4 linked regions of the Schizosaccharomyces pombe genome follow. The main gene of each other region encodes a partner of the protein of the gene in region 4 in a complex. Each region holds a gene or a part of one and is shown on either strand. Other genes may lie near its edges.

What was found.
Region 1: mrp51 (region 4) and rsm27 share a complex: the UniProt entries of both Schizosaccharomyces pombe proteins name them as parts of the mitochondrial small ribosomal subunit.
Region 2: mrp51 (region 4) and rsm23 share a complex: the UniProt entries of both Schizosaccharomyces pombe proteins name them as parts of the mitochondrial small ribosomal subunit.
Region 3: mrp51 (region 4) and fyv4 share a complex: the UniProt entries of both Schizosaccharomyces pombe proteins name them as parts of the mitochondrial small ribosomal subunit.

What each region holds. Positions count from the first base shown.
Region 1 is NC_003423.3:3,070,493-3,075,262, forward strand, and holds rsm27 (mitochondrial 37S ribosomal protein mS33), read left to right. Parts: upstream 1-1,761; 5' UTR 1,762-1,901; coding exon 1,902-2,137; intron 2,138-2,202; coding exon 2,203-2,240; intron 2,241-2,293; coding exon 2,294-2,301; 3' UTR 2,302-2,495; downstream 2,496-4,770. Other genes in the region: pyruvate dehydrogenase e1 component beta subunit Pdb1, read left to right, coding at 51-1,151; gpi1 (pig-Q), read right to left, coding at 2,496-4,457. UniProt on the Schizosaccharomyces pombe protein: Component of the mitochondrial ribosome (mitoribosome), a dedicated translation machinery responsible for the synthesis of mitochondrial genome-encoded proteins, including at least some of the essential transmembrane subunits of the mitochondrial respiratory chain.
Region 2 is NC_003423.3:2,065,651-2,069,655, forward strand, and holds rsm23 (mitochondrial 37S ribosomal protein mS29), read right to left. Parts: upstream 2,341-4,005; 5' UTR 2,289-2,340; coding exon 858-2,288; 3' UTR 537-857; downstream 1-536. Other genes in the region: telomerase reverse transcriptase 1 protein Trt1, read right to left, coding at 66-146, 203-460; ribosome biogenesis protein Rrs1, read left to right, coding at 2,743-3,243. UniProt on the Schizosaccharomyces pombe protein: Component of the mitochondrial ribosome (mitoribosome), a dedicated translation machinery responsible for the synthesis of mitochondrial genome-encoded proteins, including at least some of the essential transmembrane subunits of the mitochondrial respiratory chain.
Region 3 is NC_003423.3:3,431,738-3,438,018, reverse strand, and holds fyv4 (mitochondrial 37S ribosomal protein mS41 ), read right to left. Parts: upstream 4,352-6,281; 5' UTR 4,294-4,351; coding exon 4,200-4,293; exon of another isoform or gene 4,150-4,199; coding exon 3,902-4,149; 3' UTR 3,792-3,901; coding exon of another isoform or gene 3,459-3,791; 3' UTR 3,192-3,458; coding exon of another isoform or gene 1,647-3,191; 3' UTR 511-1,646; downstream 1-510. Other genes in the region: syj1 (inositol-1,4,5-trisphosphate 5-phosphatase 1), read right to left, coding at 1-466; plasma membrane pantothenate transmembrane transporter Liz1, read left to right, coding at 1,647-3,191; SPOM_SPBC4B4.12C (uncharacterized protein), read left to right, coding at 3,459-3,791; autophagy-associated protein Atg5, read left to right, coding at 4,829-4,927, 5,014-5,132, 5,179-5,353, 5,425-5,817; U1 snRNP-associated protein Prp39, read right to left, coding at 6,045-6,281. UniProt on the Schizosaccharomyces pombe protein: Component of the mitochondrial ribosome (mitoribosome), a dedicated translation machinery responsible for the synthesis of mitochondrial genome-encoded proteins, including at least some of the essential transmembrane subunits of the mitochondrial respiratory chain.
Region 4 is NC_003424.3:4,111,452-4,115,239, reverse strand, and holds mrp51 (mitochondrial 37S ribosomal protein bS1m), read left to right. Parts: upstream 1-1,581; 5' UTR 1,582-1,643; coding exon 1,644-2,555; 3' UTR 2,556-3,270; downstream 3,271-3,788. Other genes in the region: RecQ type DNA helicase Hrq1, read left to right, coding at 1-1,131, 1,307-1,425; bbc1 (SH3 domain-containing protein), read right to left, coding at 3,578-3,788. UniProt on the Schizosaccharomyces pombe protein: Component of the mitochondrial ribosome (mitoribosome), a dedicated translation machinery responsible for the synthesis of mitochondrial genome-encoded proteins, including at least some of the essential transmembrane subunits of the mitochondrial respiratory chain.

The sequences.
Region 1 (4,770 bases), on a different chromosome or scaffold from region 4:
GATAGCCCTAATTTTTAACGAAGTTAAAAAGAAGTTTGAGGGAATTTAAAATGATTCGTCTTCAAAAGTTTGGTGAAATTGTTGGGACCAGTCGTTCTTGGAAACTTCTTAGTTCAACCATCGCAAAGCGCTATTCTTCTTCTTCCAATGGAGTGAAGGAAATGACCGTTCGTGATGCTTTGAACAGTGCAATGGAAGAAGAAATGAAACGTGACGATCGTGTCTTCTTGATTGGCGAAGAGGTTGCGCAATACAATGGTGCTTATAAGATATCTAGAGGTTTATTAGACAAGTTTGGTCCTAAACGTGTTATCGACACTCCCATTACTGAAATGGGTTTTACTGGTTTGGCAACAGGTGCTGCTTTTGCTGGTTTACGTCCTATTTGTGAGTTTATGACTTTCAATTTTTCCATGCAGGCTATCGATCATATCGTTAACTCGGCCGCCAGAACCCTGTACATGTCTGGTGGTATTCAGGCTTGTCCTATTGTCTTCCGTGGACCTAATGGGCCTGCCGCTGCAGTTGCTGCTCAGCATTCTCAACACTTTGCTCCATGGTATGGTAGTATCCCTGGTCTTAAAGTAGTTTCTCCTTACTCAGCAGAAGATGCTCGTGGTTTGTTGAAGGCTGCTATTCGTGATCCTAATCCCGTTGTTGTACTTGAAAACGAAATTCTTTATGGTAAAACCTTTCCAATTTCGAAAGAAGCGTTGAGCGAGGACTTTGTGCTTCCCTTTGGCCTTGCTAAGGTGGAGCGCCCCGGTAAAGATATCACCATCGTTGGTGAGTCTATTTCTGTTGTTACTGCTTTAGAAGCAGCTGACAAGCTCAAGGCTGACTATGGTGTTGAAGCTGAAGTTATAAACTTGCGTAGTATTCGTCCTTTAGACATCAATACTATCGCGGCCAGTGTTAAGAAGACAAATCGTATTGTGACTGTTGACCAGGCATATAGTCAACATGGTATTGGTAGTGAAATTGCTGCTCAAATTATGGAGTCTGACGCATTTGATTATCTTGATGCTCCTGTTGAACGTGTAAGTATGGCAGATGTTCCCATGCCTTATAGTCATCCTGTTGAGGCTGCTTCTGTCCCAAATGCCGATGTTGTTGTTGCTGCTGCTAAAAAATGCTTGTATATTAAATAACAAGCTCAATTGTTGAGTCATCTGTTTAATAAAACCCGCTCTTTTCCCTTTTCCGAATAGTTGATATCTACGTATTTCGCTTTCTATTATTTTTACATTATCTACAAAGTGTAAATATCTAAGATGCTTGTCTTTAATGACTCAGATTATTGTGTGTGGGTCTTAGATGGTTTTAATTTCTTTGCAATTATTTGCGAAGATATGATTTTTCCAACCATCTTTCCAATTGGTTATCCGGGTTGGTATATCTACCTTTCAGGATAGTTTTGCTTCGTTTATCCTTAATATATGTTATATTGTATATATTACTAAATTCGTGTAAGTTTTTTAACGTAATCTGAAAGCCAGTGAACTTCAATTATATTATATTACAGCTAATGGAAATAATACGCTATATGAATATGTTCAACTATTTGGTGTCTATTATACTCTACTTAACTACTCGTAACCTCTTAAAGCGTAGAATATTAAGTACTTGATCCCACTAAACCTATTTACAGGTCTATCTTTAGTCAATGCACCAAAATGTTTCCATGTGGGGTTGATGAACTACTTATCCCACATCATCCGCTGTAGTATATCTAAGTAGACTTGCGCTAATAATACTTACAATAACAGAATTTCAGAATCCTTGCAGATGAAATCATAGTAGTGTCTTTAGCCTTATTATTGTTGTTTTTATTTCGTTTTGCCTTTAACTTTAAGCAACCACATTCCCTAGGAGCCTTCCCTAATTTTTGGTATAAAATCATGGCTAGCAAAGCAATCCTGGAAGAATTAAATATTCTCTCATCAAAAATATTTGGCACTCAGTATAAATCAAACAACTCGAGAACGGGTCGCAAATTTGTAGTACAAGAGCTGAAGGGAGCAAAACTGAAGAGCTACTATCCCGCAACTATCAATTATCGTCAATTAAGGACCCTTTTAAATGATAAAACATTTCCCGATAGTGATGAGGAATTGCGAATGGAAATCAGGAAAGGGTATGTTAGTTGTTAATTGAGATTGAATGTTTCTTTCACAAGAAATTAGCTAATTAAAATACTAGGAGAATACGCCAAGGAAAAGGAGCCTCCAAGTCAAAAAGTATGTAAAGCTTACTATAAAACCGAATTAGGAACCTTCTAACTCCTGTTTAGAAAAATAAATAATTGAAAATTGTGCCTTTCTAATACTTTGCGGTTACATTTCGCACATTTTCTTTCCAATTATTATCAAATGGGTAACGGCTAAACAGCTTTGAACGAAACTGATAAACTAAGTTTAATTATAAAAATTTTGTTGTTTCATAAACAAAAAATATTATATATCAACTGTGTGCAACAATACTTAACATTTTGATCAGTCGTAAGGAAATTTTTTCTGATGAAAAAGAAGATCTCGCAGTTTTCTAATAGATATTCTTTTGGTCGGAAGCATAGCGTACTGGATATTGTAGAGTTGCTCAGCAGGTATCGCTGGAACTGGGCAACCTACGAGCAAACTAATCAAAGTAGTTTTTGAAAGGTAATGCGAAATTAACCTACGCGCCAGTTTCCGATAATGCTCAAACATGGATCCAAGAGACATCGGTTTGGAGTTGCAATTGAGATATAGCGTTGCGAAGCCGTCTTGTTTTAATGGTTCAAAGCTGACTATCTCAAAATTCAGCCCACTTGGTATTCTATAAGGATCTTTAATTCGTAACATTGTAACAAATAATGGGAAGTGATTCAGGAAGGCTAACATAGTTTCACAGATTGCCAAGCATGTCATCACGGATACTCGTGTTAATGCAAATGCTGCATAGAAAACATATATTGTAGGTAAGAAGAATATTAGTACCGTAAAAAGGATTGTTCCTAAAAGTAGTTGGTCTAAATCATACTCATATGAGTCGATTCTATTTCGTAAAACGTTTCTTTTTTTTCCTCGAAAAAGCTGCAGCAAACTATAAATTACACGTAGCTGCCAATTATACAAACGTGATGAAGCCAAATAAAGCAAATGTATATGAATAGTCATAACACTTAAAAAATCAGAAATTAAAGCGATCATTAAACTAGCACCCCCAAACCCAGAAATAGCGACAACTTGAACCAAAAATGGAGTCCAAGGCAAACAATGCAAAAGAAAATTACTCCATACGTCAATAACCCATACAGAAAGCTTCATAATAAACTTGCAAATGTCGTTGTTTAGTTTTAATCCAGCAGGAGTATCCACGAGCCATATAACCATAGAACGAACGTTTTTTATCGCATACTCGAATGTGATATTTTCTATTAATTTTACCACCAGATGAAGATTCTCTAAAATAAATGAACTCATTGTAATCCCAAAGATCATGTCATTCGCAACCAACCAAAGGTTGTTATAGAATCTAATATATTCTTTGTAATCCTCTATCGCAACGCGCTTGCTTTTCCGAAAAACCCATAATTTCATATATTGTACAGGCCAAAAACACGCTTGTTGCAACCTCAAATCTACTTGACGAGCAGAAACGAAAATATCCATCATATTATAAGATAAAGGAATCGGTCGGTAATTAATCGCCAAGAGTATAACCTCATTAATTATCCTCAATAATATGATAAAGTAAGCAAACAGCGAATTAAAAAAATAAAAGGTTGATGACGAGACACGATCAAAAAGTCGAAAAACATATGAATTTTTTTTGTTATTATTTTCATGTGTTAACATGCGAACCTCGAAGGATTGATTAAGAAGCTCAATTAAGCCTGAGCGTAGACTCCTTTTCCAGCTATTTTCTTTGCGTCGGGGAAAGTGCAATTTCAATTTTTTTAACAGTATTTGCTGGTGTTGCATGCTTTCGTATTCAGGGTTTGACTTGTTAATAAAACTATCTTTTAACAATAAAAGCGATAGAGGTTCAAGGGAAAGAAATTGCATTTTTCTTGGCTGCGGAGGATGATAATAAATTATATGCAGATTTATTTTTAAAGGCGTACTAGCCGAATCGAAAACTCGGGGATGAGAAAGCTCAGTCGATTGCTGCACTTTGATCCAACAATCAATTTCATATTTGTCACCCGGCAAAATATCGGCAGAGCAATTAAACGTGCCTAATATACACAGAGATTTAATATCTACTGATTGATCTTGATTTTTGCAATAATCAACTAAAAAATTAGCGAAGGATTGATAACTAGTAATTGTTGTCACAACGATAAGATCGTTGGTAGAGTACTTCCAACCAACTAAGTAACCAGAATCGGTATAAGAGATCGTACTTTTGGGCCAATATATCCGTTTCACTTCAATTGGAGCCGAAGCTATATTCATGGTTGTGGTAGACATTTGAAATATAATATTGAATGCTCTGAAGTCAATTCCGAAGTGTTTAATAAAAAAGACAAACAAGTAATAACAGACTTTAGAAGCATACAAAAAACTTTTGTTAAGAAAAATATAACAGGAGATGATACTGCTCTCTCCGGTGTTTAGAACTCAAGTTGTAAAATCAAAAACTTCCTCGACGTAAAAGCTGTTCCCTTGCAGAAATGCCACCGCTAACTGACGTTGAGTTACGAGCTTCGGATTCAGCGATTCGTTCTAAAAGAATGAAAATAAAAAATCCTAAAACGGTAAACAGTAGTACGTATGAAGGAAC
Region 2 (4,005 bases), on a different chromosome or scaffold from region 4:
CGGTTAAATACAATCTCTTTGAAACAGTAATTGCAGGTAAATATTTCACAATTAGAATACCTTACCATGGAAAACCCTTTCATCAGTAGATTCCTTCGACGCTCAAAACTTTCATCGAACATCTGTTTTACAACATTCGCTATTAGCTGCCCATATATTAGCTATCCCGAATAGAAAAAAATCAAAACAAAAATATATATACCTCTGACTGTGAGCATTTTGGAGAAGAAAATTGAACACCTTCATCTGGCTTACTGTCGAAGCCGACTACAGTCGAATGAAGAAAAATAGAAAAGGACGTTTGTACATCGCTTCTCAAGCGTTCGCATATATTGCTATACGAGCTTGCCGGCGACCCTCTCAAAACAAGTTGTACATAATCATTTAAGGTACATAGGTATACATATTGATTCTCTAGAAAGCGAAGAATCCTGCTTTTGGGGGTATGGTGTTCGGTCATGCAAGTTACAAGTAACCATTAAGCATAACTATATATATGCAAAGTGTCCTACTGATCATAACGTTTTAAATAAATAGTGACCGCAAATATTGATTAATATTTATAATTATAGGATTTTTTTTATATAATGATAGCTAATAAATGTTTTGCAAAGTATCTTTAAACTAATAACATTACACGAGTAGAATCACCAATCTTTCTACTACTATCAATTATAAGCGAAACTAATTTAGATTATTCATTAGGGGGAATAGTGAAAAAGGTACGATTCCAGGAGTAAAACGGAAAAAAGCCTAATACGAGATGATACATATTTGGAACAACATGAGAATAGAAAATAGAAAAATAAAACCGCGTTAAAGGAGTTGTAGTGGATAGAAATTTTTGAATATCTCAATCATGCTAGACGTGTGCAAGCATCAAAAAACTTTCGCGGATTACCACCACTAAGGACATGATTTTGCAAATAATTATCAACCTTTTCAAGGCAAACGTTGGATGATACCAAATACTCCATCATGCGACGTGACTCATCTAAAGTGTAAGGCTCCATGTTAAGAATATGCACGGACTGTAATGAATCTAATATAGTCTCATCAGAAGATTTGTAAGGATTTCTGTGAGCTACTCCAAGAGCTATATCCAATGACGGGGTAGAAACACGCGGTTGGCTAGAAGTAGCAGCTAAAACAGTACCACGATTAAAAGTAAGCGAACCCGAAATATATTTGAAAAGTAAATTAATAAAGTAAAAGTCTTTAGGGGGAAGGAAGTTGTTCTTTTTGTCCTTATACTTGGTAACGACCGATAAAATAGAAATATTATCGATCACTAATAACACCTTCATATTGGAATTTGACTTGGTATTGTTATTGAGTTCTTGTAAAAATATTTCCAGAGATTTAGGAGCGTTCGAGGAAGCAATTAGCTTATGAAGAAAGGAAAGTAAATCGGTACCAGCAGGAATGCATTCGTTCTGAAGCAACTCATGACTTTCAAAGGTCTTTAGCTTCTTAAGTTTATCAGAATTAGTTTTCATAACAGAAGTTAGAAATCCCTTAATTAAATCTGGTTGCACCCACAACTTGAGTTGCTCATCATAACCATAACTACTCGTTGAATTTACCCATCCTTCGCAGTTATGGACTGGCAAGACTATAAAATTAGGTTGTGATAAGGCGAAAAGTTCAGCTTGTATGAGAGCAATACTTCTTCCTGAACCTGGAGCACCATCAAGAAGAAAACGTCCGTCCTTCGTACCCTGGTCTTTGGAGCGCTGCAGTACATTCACTAATTCAGTTGTAATTTTCCTGTGCAAAAGGGAAGCACTGGTAAAAAAGGAGAAACTTTTTTTTTGTTTTTCTAAAGCCCCAAATCCATTAAGTTTATTAAGCAATTCCTCGGGGATTTTAAACATCTTACCTTCAGACTTGCTGGACCAAGACATATGCGGATGAATTTCAGAGGGCTTCACCTCTTCTAAAGTATTTTCTCCTTCATTTAAGAGATGATCCAATACAACGCTACTATTGGGAATAGTCGTCGATTTCTCTACTGACGAAGTTGAGGGGGGAATTTCATTAATTCTTGGCGCTTCCGAATTTTTTTGACGCTGCTGGTTAGAGCTTGAATGTATATTTCCTCCAACAGGTCTACCCGTATGCTGGTATTGTGAGGATGAATAGTATTTGTTAAATGTGCATTTTTCAAAAGTGTAGAGTCCTCCCAGTTTACTACCGCAAACAGTCAGTTTTCCACCGGACAGGATATTAGAAATTCTCTCTGTATTCTTAATAATACTACTTCTGCTTCTAAACTTCGGTAGCATTTTGTTAGAGGTATTTTTTTCTCGTAAATCTTAAGTATACATATCTGTTCTCACGTAAATGAAGAGACTGACTGCTTCCGGATGGTAAGTATTTACTGAGCTCTTAGCGCATTGCTAATATTTTTTAATAGGGTAGATTTGGCGTTCAGTAATAAAGAGAACTAACGTATTGCTAATAAGTGTCTCTACTTTTGCAAAAACTAAAGAATCGTAAAAGTTTTCTTACTTTCTTCGTTTGTCATAAAGAAAGTAAAAACAGTAGATTGCTGAACTGAAAGAGAGCTTTTTCTCTTATATATTCAGTAGTTTGATAAAAATTTTGGAGTTTGAAAGAAGAATTTCGTATCCTGAACCAACTTTTTAACAAATCAATTTTGCAGTCTTTTTTGAGAACTTTTTGTCACTTAATTGTATTATCAACCCTTTTTTTTTCCTTGTCCCTATTTCGTTAATCATGTCTGCACAAATAGAAAACTCCATTCCTCTAGATTTCGATTTGGGAAATATGGCTGCATTTGATATTTCTCCCTTAGATGAAACTAAGCTTAGCGGTTCAGAGAAAGAATCATTCCTTTTTTCTCTCAGTAGAGATAACGTTCAACAATTGGTGAACAAAATGATTTCCTTGCCTAAGGAGCGTACATCAGATGGCGTCCTTTTACAGCTTCCTGAAACTGTTACACCTCTTCCTCGTGCTAAACCTTTACCTAAACCCAAGCCCGAAACCAAATGGCAACGGTTTGCTCGTATTAAAGGTATTGCTCCTAAGAAGCGGGAAGGCAGGTTGGTGTTTGATGAAGCATCTGGTGAATGGGTACCAAAATGGGGTTATAAGGGTAAAAATAAGGAATTAGAGACACAATGGCTTGTTGAAGAGGGAGAAAAGGAAAAGAAGCTTACTTCCAAGCAAGTGAGAAATACCTCAAAAAAAATCAAGCGCTCTCGTCGCCATTAATTGGTCCTGCTTAAAAAAAATTTTTCTTAATTTAAAAATTTACTATAATTTAGCTATTCATGGGTTAAGTGGTATAATATCATTTTTATTTTGTTATTATCGTTTGTTTTTGTTTGCTACAACTAAAATCCCTTCTTCAATTGGGATATCAACGGGTACAGAAGGAATATGTAAGACATCGGTTATGTGGCTGCTTTGTTTACACATTTTTATGTGTTAAAAATTAACGAGCACTTTTTTGAAGCTGCTACTCGAAAATCGAACGTTAAAATGTTGAATGTTTACGAGTTAAGTGTAAAGTAAGTTTTAACAGCAACTGTTTTGATACACTGTGGGATTTCCTCCAATTGAATTTTCTAATAACCTCTTGTAAAAAAAGTTTCATACAGTTAAAATGCGACCATATCGTAGTTAATTATTATTTTCTGTATGCAGTCTTAAAAGGCTGGAACATCATATTAAGAGCCCAACTCATGGCTAACTGATATGCAACATTTTTGAAATGTTCAACAAACAGAATTTCATCAGACTCAACAATAACAATCCTTTCTAAATTACTATATAGATTGCAACATCAGTCTAAATATCTGAATGCATTAGTGGTGTAGCGGTAACATTGGAGCTTCCCATGCTCTAGCTCCGGGTTCGACTCCCGGCTGATGCAAATATAGCTGTGAATTTTTAAAAATATAATTGTTTATGTTCTAAAATTGGTTTTTGCATTTTCTATGAATGATATACTCAATCAAAACATATCCTTTT
Region 3 (6,281 bases), on a different chromosome or scaffold from region 4:
AAAAGTAAAATGATCCATTTGTTAATAGCTTTCTGAGACTACTGAATGGTTCAGCGGCATACTTGTAAGAATCATAGCCTTGGGTATCGGTATCGTAACCATCCGGAATATCAGGCGAGTAATTTTCTTGTCGAATGTGATCCCAGTTTGAACGATTAACACTGTAAAAGCAGACCTCCATGATACGAAAAACTCTTTCTTTATCTCGCACACGTGCTACCTCACTAGCTCCACTAATCACGCACAAAAAATTGGACCCTTCTAATTCAATCAGACCTAGAGTACCATAAATTCGATGACTGGAGATTTTTCGAAATCCTTCTAACGGCTTTTCTGACAATGCCGTAAATTCTGCAACACATACTGATAAAGAGTTTTTGTTCTGAGGAACCGAATGAAACATAAGAGCATGGTCCTTATTGACTAAGGCCAAGGATCTTGGCTTTTCCCTCAGCAGACATTGCATCTTAAGATTCACAAATGTGAACTATAAATAATAAAATTCGTTCTGTAATGAACGATGCAAGTCTTTACCAACGATGTTTGTCCGAACAAGTTATAAATCTTGGGATACGAAGTTGGGTGGTGTTGGGTGACAAAAACGTTCGTTACTTAAACATTATAGAAGCGCTTCTGTAAATTAGAATAAGTAAACGGCTTATTTTAATTTACTATGTTAAAATGTATTCCAAAAAATTTTGGTTCTAATATATGGAAGTTTCTGGTCAATTTTTAAAGTGCATTTGCTTTACAAAACTCGTAACCCTTGTAAACATATTTCATTGATTATGGGTAGAAAACCATTGAAACAAGAAAATCATAAGAGAAGCGATCTTGCTAAAACGTAACGTAACAGGATTTCAAGGCACTTCCATAAGATTGGTACTGTCAAAAAATGTATTATAATTCACTTTCGTTCATCAACAGTGCCATTGTTAATTTCAAAAACACCAAGTTGCACAAGAATACAGCGGTTACTCCAACGTATTAAAAATAAAAGTCAAACAGATACAGTATTCGGCAGAAAAAACCCCCATCTTAAGAGCTAAGATTATTTGAGCTCTCCGAAGATGTTCGCTGACGCTGAATAGCTTCAACTATGGCAATTTTTTACATTTCAAATGTGTTGGTTACTGTAATAGTATGTTTAATCTCGCAAATAGTGGTTATTGTATTGTAGCCACTTGAACCGAATGCTTATTAATTGAAAGGTTAGATGTTTTTTGCAATACAGTTAATTTCCACAAATAGAGCAGCAAAGTATAGTACTCATTGTGGCTACGTCGAGAATAAGTATCCAACTTGCTAGCCAATTCCGAGTAATCAGCGCACATCTAAAAATTAAGATTGGGTTTCCGGCATTGATATTGTCACTTTTTAGAAGGCTCGATCGATACTTATAATCTTGATTTTTCAGAAAAATTAAAGAAAAAATTTTCCTGGCTGGAGCATATTGATATTCCAACAGTCTGCAATTCGATTTTGACTCGAAGTGTTTGTTCCTTGCTTAGGTCCCTGGCTTTACTTTAATATAGGCACTTTTCATGAGAATCCATTGAAATTGTACGTTTTCTAAAGCCATAAAAATTTAAGTTAGGTCTCCTCTGTAAATTGTCGTGAATATTTCATAAGTGAGACAAGTCGTAATGGCGTTACTAAATAGGTTGGCAAAAACCTTTTCCCCTTATTATGGATTAAACAAAGTTGAACAAAAGCTTTTAATAAAAATAGATTGGTTCATACTTTCTTACTGTTGCGTTTCATATTTTATTAATTACTTGGATAGATCATCAATAAACAATGCATACCTTAGTGGTATGCAAGAGGATTTGAAAATGCATGGTAATGAATTGCAAGATATAAACGTTGTTTTTACATGTGGATACATTATAGGACAATTGCCAGGTTCTTATGCATTACAGAGAGTACCAGCAAGACTTTGGTTTTCGGTTATGAATATTTTATGGGGACTTATGACGATTTTTTCATTTGCGGTACATTCCGTTCGAGCATTGATGATTTTACGCTTTTTCATGGCGGTTGCGGAGGCATCTACATTTGCTGGTACGCATTATATATTGGGCGCATGGTACAAAGAAAGTGAACTATGCAAACGTGCCGGAATTTTTTCAGCCTCTGGTTTAGTCGGCACAATGTTTGCTGGGTATTTGCAAACAGCAGTTCATTCATCATTAAATGGTAAAGGTGGTTTATCTGGTTGGCGTTGGCTTTTTATAATTGATGGCATTTTGACGATTCCTCTTTCATTATATGGGCTCTTTCTGTTTCCTGACGTTCCAGAAACAACCAAGGCTCCTTATTTTACAGAACAAGAAAAAGAATTAAGTTTCAAAAGGCTACCCGCTCGCCCCAAGAAGAAGCCATTAACGCTAAAAGCGATAAAGGATATTGTACGTTCATGGCGAATTTACGGTTTGTGCATCCTTTGGATTTTTAGCGGAGAAACACAAGCTATAGCTGTCAATGTATTGATGGGTCAGTGGATGAAATGGAGCAACAAATTTTCTGTTGCCCAAATAAATAATTACCCAACTGTGATTACAGCTGTTGGCGTAGTATCAACGTTAGGTGCTAGTGTTATTTCTGATAAATTAGCTGGAAACCCAAGATGGCCTTTTGGACTTTTTCTGTGCGTAATTACTACTGTTTCTGCTACAATACTTCTAGCATGGAACGTGCCAGATGGCGCAAAATTCTTTGCTTATTTCGCTTCTGGTTGTACATATGCTGGACAAGCAGTTTGGTTTTCTTGGGCAAATGACATTTGCCGGGATAATGATCAGGAAAGAGGAGTTGTTGTGTTTTTGATGAATATGTGTCAGAATATCTGGCATATTTGGTGGGCACCTATAATGTATCCCAATACTGATACGCCTCGATTTATAAAAGGATTAATTGGTTTGCTGGTGGTAGGAGGAATAGTCTTTGTTAGCTCTTGTATTGTTAGTTACATGCAAATCCGCGATAAAAGAATTAAACGATCCATCCAGGATGCAAAAGATTTCGATGATGTATTCACTGAGCATGAAAGTTTAGAGTTAAAAAAAATAGGCAAAAATGATGAGGAATCACTCAACACAACTAATGCGGTCAAAGAAATTAGTTCTCCAGGGCTTGTGATAACGCGACAGCGAATTTCCATGCCAAAAGAAACGAATGCCCAAGATTAGTACTAGAAGATTAATGACATAGTATAAATATTCCTTATGCCTTTAAGTACACATTTAGAGTAAATTTGCTGTTCATATTGATATCAACCTAACATAAAAATTTACCACAGTTGGCTCATCTAATTGACCAAGCCCTTTGACGCAAACGCAAACGAATACCTTTGCACACATACTCAAAAAGAATCTGCTAACAAACGATTTAAGGTGCAGCTGAAGTTAAAAATTTATAACCATTAAATAGAAATACCAACTATACGTATAGTTTGGATGGTATCCGGCAATGATCAACAAGTTATTGAGTATACATCAGTCCTAAAGGAATTTAGCGATGGTGTAGACTTAATGGAGCTAAAAGAAAATTTTTTATATATTAGGACTAGAGAAAAAATTGAAGCTAAATTAATCTGGGCAGGAGAGTGGGAATGGAAGCCCGTGAACGAAACAAATGAAAATAACTTGGAAAGAGGGAGACAATACCCTAGCGCCAATTCCGCACTAATGGAAAATTCTCCAGAATTTGCTAAATGGTTTCATGGACAATTGTTTAATCGGCTTTGCGTTCTAGGCTCCACATCTTCGTCGAGAAAAGACATGCTTTGAACAGTGTTGGCTATTTTAAGCAAATTTTAGATTAATTCGAACTCAAGCAAAAACTCAACTACAAAAAGAAGAAAGAATGTCTCAAAAGAATATAATATTCCATATACTTATTATTTACGTTTGCGTCGCTCACCTCCATTCTTTTTAACCATAACTGGATATGGCTTAACTATAAACCCTTCTTTAAATCGGTTTCTTTGGCTTGCAATGTATTTCCTTGTACGTACATCAATACCTTCCTTTTTCATAGTTTTTGTACTTTTCCTAAATAGACCATCCCAAGACTCGAATTTTCCGTTCACTTTTTCTGCAGTATCTCTTCCAATTCTTTTAAAGAAATCATTTGTATTAGAAATCCCTGAATCTTGTTAGGAATTTAAATTGCACTAATGTTTTGAAATCTCATACCTGATCTTGGACTAGGAACAGTAGAGGCATACCGGCAGTTAGAAAAAGGAAATATAAAATTTCTTATAATGAAAATCCTCTTCAAGATCAACATATTTACCAGTATTGTTTTAAAAATATTTGGTTGTTTAAATAAGTTGTGTACAGTTTCTGGAACGTATGCGAAAGTCTCACAAACGTACTAGCGACTCATAGTGCGACCATGTCAAGCTTAGTGCCTGCAATTATTAGCTATATAAATCCTTGCTTTTAATTCTTTTATGAGATTTACTGCATGCAAACTTTCAAGTCCCTTGAATATCTCAAACTTCTACTTCCGAAAAGTCATTACGTGTCTATTAACTAATCAATACAGTGAATCTACAAATTCCTAATTGCGGTTTTTGTATAGCAGGAACTCGTATTTTGAACATATAAATTACCAGTTATATTTTCGGGTGAATTTTTTGAAGACTCTACTATGTGTATTTAAAGCCCACTTACTTTAATTGTAAAAACATTAATTTAACTAATTATAGTGAATGTCTGACTCTAAGCTATTTATCAACGCATTCCAACCACCCACGAGTTTGTTAAGTATACAACAAAAGCACAATTTCTAATCACAGTATTGGAGATGTTTTTTAAAAATGAATGTCGATAATAATAAAGGCAATATTCCAGAGCTCCTTTGGAATGGCACTATTTCTGTGCGCATTGATTATGAAGGTAATTCTCTGGCCTATCTAGTATGTGATTTGTTCACTCAAGTAGTAATTTAATATTCTTTAACTCAATTTATTTTTTCCTTTTTGCTCACCATATTCTACCTAAGGCTAACGTCCCGCGACAATCATATTTTGCTCAAATACTCCCAAATGTTCAACGTCTGTTGGCACCTTCAATCCCTTTATCAGAATGTTGGTTGGATTATAATGGGGTTCCTCTTAAATGGTATCGTTTACCCAAAGTAACTTTCCGTAAATTAATCATAATATAGGCATTGGCCTGTTGGCTTACTTTTCGATTTGTTAACAGTGTTTGATCCGGATACTCCTCGAGCGCCGGTGCTATGGCGCATTCAATTGCGCTCAGGTCTATTTCCTACAACCAAAATACTTCAAATGGAAACCATGGATACTTTTCGAACATATTTTTTCAACTGCTTAAAAGAGGTGCGTTCTCTATCACAAAAACATATATGATTTATTTACAAAAGGGGTAAATCCATATTAACTTTTTACAGTCTGATTACGTTCGTAACGGAAGTTCGTCTGGAATAATCGCTCTTTCAAAGGCAGAAACAGACACCTACTGGAATGCAATACTCAATCATGATTACTATGATTTCCGTCCCATTGCTATAAAAATACTTTTTTCAAAATCCAAATTCATTCCTTTAAAAATTTATTTAGGGGCCAATGCTCCTATTATACAAACTTCTGCACCTCTTGGTAGTTCTCTTGGTGAGTTTCTCAATAAACGCCTTCCCGACTTGTTTCCATCATGTGATAAATTCTTAATAGTTAAACCAGTTATTCATGGTATTACAATTTTTCTTCAGAGCGTTTTAGACGAGCTCAATCGAGATTTCTGTTACATTGATGGGTTTTTACATATTGTTTTAATGAAAGTTTAAAACATTTACGTCTCTTCTCTAGCTCCTTTAGATAATTTGTTATTCATGTACAAATAATTTTAAGATTTGTATACCCATGCAGTCTAGCAATGACTTTACAATGACATTAAGGTGCGTTTGAGTACTCCTTTCCCTAAACAAACTGCTTTTTAAGAAGTAGGAAATGCAACGAGATATAGCATTGATAATTTGACTATGAAAATTTCTTTTTAATGAGAAGTCGTAGATTATGAAGACCCATTGGCAGCAACACCAGATGTTACTGTCTCAACAACACCCTGAAGACGGTAATATTTCTCATATGGAGATTCACCAGACTTGATTTTTGCTTCATTCACAGAAATACCAGGGTGACCGTTAGTGCTTAAAAGCCTAGTACTAACCTGTTTCAAATCTTGTCCTTCATCGAGCTTTTTCCAGTGGGATTCCCGTACACTAAAAGGCCCAAAGACATCTCGATCAAT
Region 4 (3,788 bases):
TTGGTCGTGCTGGTAGAAGGAATAAGTCTTCCTTAGCAGTATATATAGTTGAGACATTTCCCGTTGATCAGTTTTATTTAAAGCATCCTATTTTGATTCACACTCAACCAAATGCTGAACTCACTTTAGACTTGACAAATGAGGTATTACTAGCGAGTCATCTTCAGTGTGCTGCATATGAGCTTCCCATTAACATAAGGAGCGACGAAAAGTTTTTTGGAAATCAAATTCAAGACATTTGCGAAGCAAATTTAGAAATGGTTGAAGAGAGTTATCGGCCTCATCCAAAATATCTTCCTTTTCCTGCCTCGCAGGTACGGATACGAAGCGTTAGTGAAGACATGTTTACTCTCGTCGATGTCACAAATGATAAGAATGTTATTCTAGAACTCCTCGAACCTTTTCGTGTTGCATTAACTGCTTACGAAGGTGCAGTTTATGTTTATCAAGGAAAAACGTTTATCATTAGGCTCCTAAATATTAACAAGAGAATTATTACTGCTCATCAAGTTGATGTTGAATGGTCAACATTGCAAAGAGATTTCACAGATGTTGATCCTGTTCGCAGCTTAATGAAGAAGACTATGCATGGAAGTACAAACATTTATTTTGGGGCTGTTAAAGCAACATTACATGTATTTGGGTATTTCAAAGTTAACAAGCAGAAAGATATTCTGGACGTGGTAGATATTACCGATCATCCTGTTGAAATTGATAGTCGAGGTTTCTGGATAGATGTACCTTGGCATATCATTGAGGTTTTGTCATTAAAAAAAATAAATGGAGCCGCTAGTATACATGCTGCCCAACATGCTTTACTTTCGTTGATGCCAATTTTTATTAGTAACAGCGGTAACGATATTCGAACAGAATGTAAAGCGGGTGAAAAGGAGTATAAAGAGGCTAAAAGCGAGCGAAGACGTCCTTCCCGACTCATTTTCTATGATAATTGTGGTGATTCATCTGGTGCTGGTTTATGCAACAAGGCATATGAACATACTGATGAATTAATTACAATGGCCATTGAGCGAATTGAGAGTTGCGATTGCAAAGTTCGTGAAGGTTGTCCCGGATGTATTACGAGTTCAAAATTTGAAGGCGGAGTTTGCTCTGGAGAAGTACTTGACAAGGGTAAGTATAGATATACTTTGCATTTTTTGTTGGACGGTGAAGCAATCCCGTATAGATTGGTCGCTTAGTAGTTTGTAAGATAACACTCTCATTTTTTTTATGATCAAATGAAAAGGGATTGCTTGCAAACTTAAATAGATTATTCACATTACTTCTACTAACATATTTCTTTCAGTTGGCGCTTTAATCTTATTGAAAATGCTACTGTGTCAACATGTAAATTTAGATATATATGCTGATGGACCAGAGATTGATTCATATCACGCTTTGCGAACTTTAATACCTTCTTGTTAATAATTGAATTTATTTTTTTTATTTTGTTTATATTAGACTAAATTATTAGTTAGTACTACTAATATTGCGTTGTGCTTTTTGATTTTACATTTAAACCCTACCCTAACTTACCGGAGTCAATGTTAGATACTGACAGCGCTCAGTGCTTACTACCGTACAGCCACCGTTCTCCTCATAGAAGCCAAGTCCCAATATAAATCTTGAATTTTTGTAAAAATATGAGTTTTGCACAAATTCTCCGTGGCTCGAGGGCAATGGCTTCTCCAAAATGTCTTCCAGAATCCAATTATTCAACATCACACCTTCGGTTTCCTCGATTGCAATCCATAACTTCAAAAAAAAATAGTAGAGCTCGTGGTGATTGGGGACTGAAAAGGACTCTTCCAAAAATAAAGACAAGATACATATGTGTGCGGCAGCAAGATTCCTTATACAAGCAAGCAGATTTTCAATCAAGCGCTAAATTTGTTCGTCTAGTTCGCAATTGGTTTGATGCTGGATTTGTACGAGATCCTTCTGAAGTTGCTTTGTTGCAAGAATTATTGAAAGAAACGGGGTTGAAAGATACGCGTGACATAAATAAGGTATTTTCTCCTTCTAAACAATCCGACGAAAATGATAACTTTCGCCGTTACGGAGTTTCTGGCGGTATTCAATACAGTAATGTTCCTTTAATTAATTCTCGAGTAACACCTAATTGTGAATCAAATTGTTCCAATATTCGACGTCGACTTACGGCCCATATAATTAGTTCAGATGCCTCTACTGCATACTACGGTTTAGGGGGCTTGATTCTGAGGCTACCTCGAACAGTTGTCTTTAATAGAAATCGGTCATCTCCCCTCTTTTCCCAGGAACAGCGCATTTCTTATACAGTCTATAAAAATGGTCGACTCCGACTAGTTCCCTTTTCCGGTCCCGAGTTAGAAACACATCTTGCCTATCCCTCGGAAGACTCGGAGGTTGAATCGTTTTTTAACAGAGATATTCAATTGGTAGCCAAAAGAGATTCATCTCTCGATGCTCCCGTATCCTATCAACGGGGTATTATGAAATTTTTTATGGCTCCCTCTCAAACCTCAAATAATGAAGCTAATTCCTCAGAGAAAGATAACCTCTCTAATTCGTAGAGGACTTTATGATCATGTGCATTTATGCTATCTCCTTATGGTTTACTCGATTTTAAGTTGCATTTAACAACCTATCATTTTTATTATTAAGAAGGTTCGTTTAAGTCTCCTATATTCTGTTGTTATCCCACAGTACAATCTACCACTAGCAATAATCTTAACGACATACGATTCTCCTTTAAAAAATCTTTCAATCTATTTATTCTTACTTCTCTTTGTGTGGCATCAAATTCTTGTACCAATAATGGGTCTATTGCTTCAAATGACTCTTACACTTTCCATTTGTTTCCCTATTTACTAGTTTACCCTAAACTGCGTTTTGCACTTGACGGTTGTTCATTTTGGTGAACAGTCATAACACTTGAACTGAATGTGTTTTCTAAGAAGTTTGTTTGGTTTGCAATGTTACATCCTTGTTCTCTGGGTGTTAGTGAAAGTCACTCTCGTTAATCTTGACTAGGTATATATTTCAGTTAACCGTTATTTTCGGTTTCACCTCGAAATAAATGTTTTTTGTTGATTATATAAGCGCAAGCGTTTGAAAAAAGAGTTAGAATTTTGTAAAGGATTTTTTTTTTCCGAAATTGTCTTTAAGTACAGTTCAATAACTTACAAAATCTTATCCTTTTACCATACATTGTTAATTGTGCATTTCAACTGTTTAATTAGATATAACTGATTATTAGCATATACTATAAAAATGACTGTAGATGTGTATATATATTTCAAAAGTTGAATCACATAGCCCAATCTTTGGTATATATGTGAATATAATTCAGCAAACAACTTCCACGAGATATAAGTCTTCTAAAAACATAGGGCGTGTCGTCAAAAAATGATATAAATAATCCCAATCGTCAAAGATATATCAGTGAAAGAATATACTGACAGACGATCATTAAGGACTATTCAAATCTGCTTCGCAATTGAACAATTTAAAAAAATGAGTGCTGCTCTTTAGGAAGTTTGAGTTATTTGTGATAAAATGATAAGAACTTAAAACCATAGTAAAATAATTACCATTAATTCCAACCAAGCCAAGATCGACGCATTACACGCCACACAGTAACTTCTCCACTCTTTAAATCACCGAATTTGTAGCTTGCAACTGAAACCTTCTTGGACTCTCTGCCTTGTTCCAACACCCTAATCTTCAGTTTCGAAACATCCCACTCTGATATGATACCATAATGCATGGGCTTACCAACTTCAAGAGAGTATTTTGAACGAAGA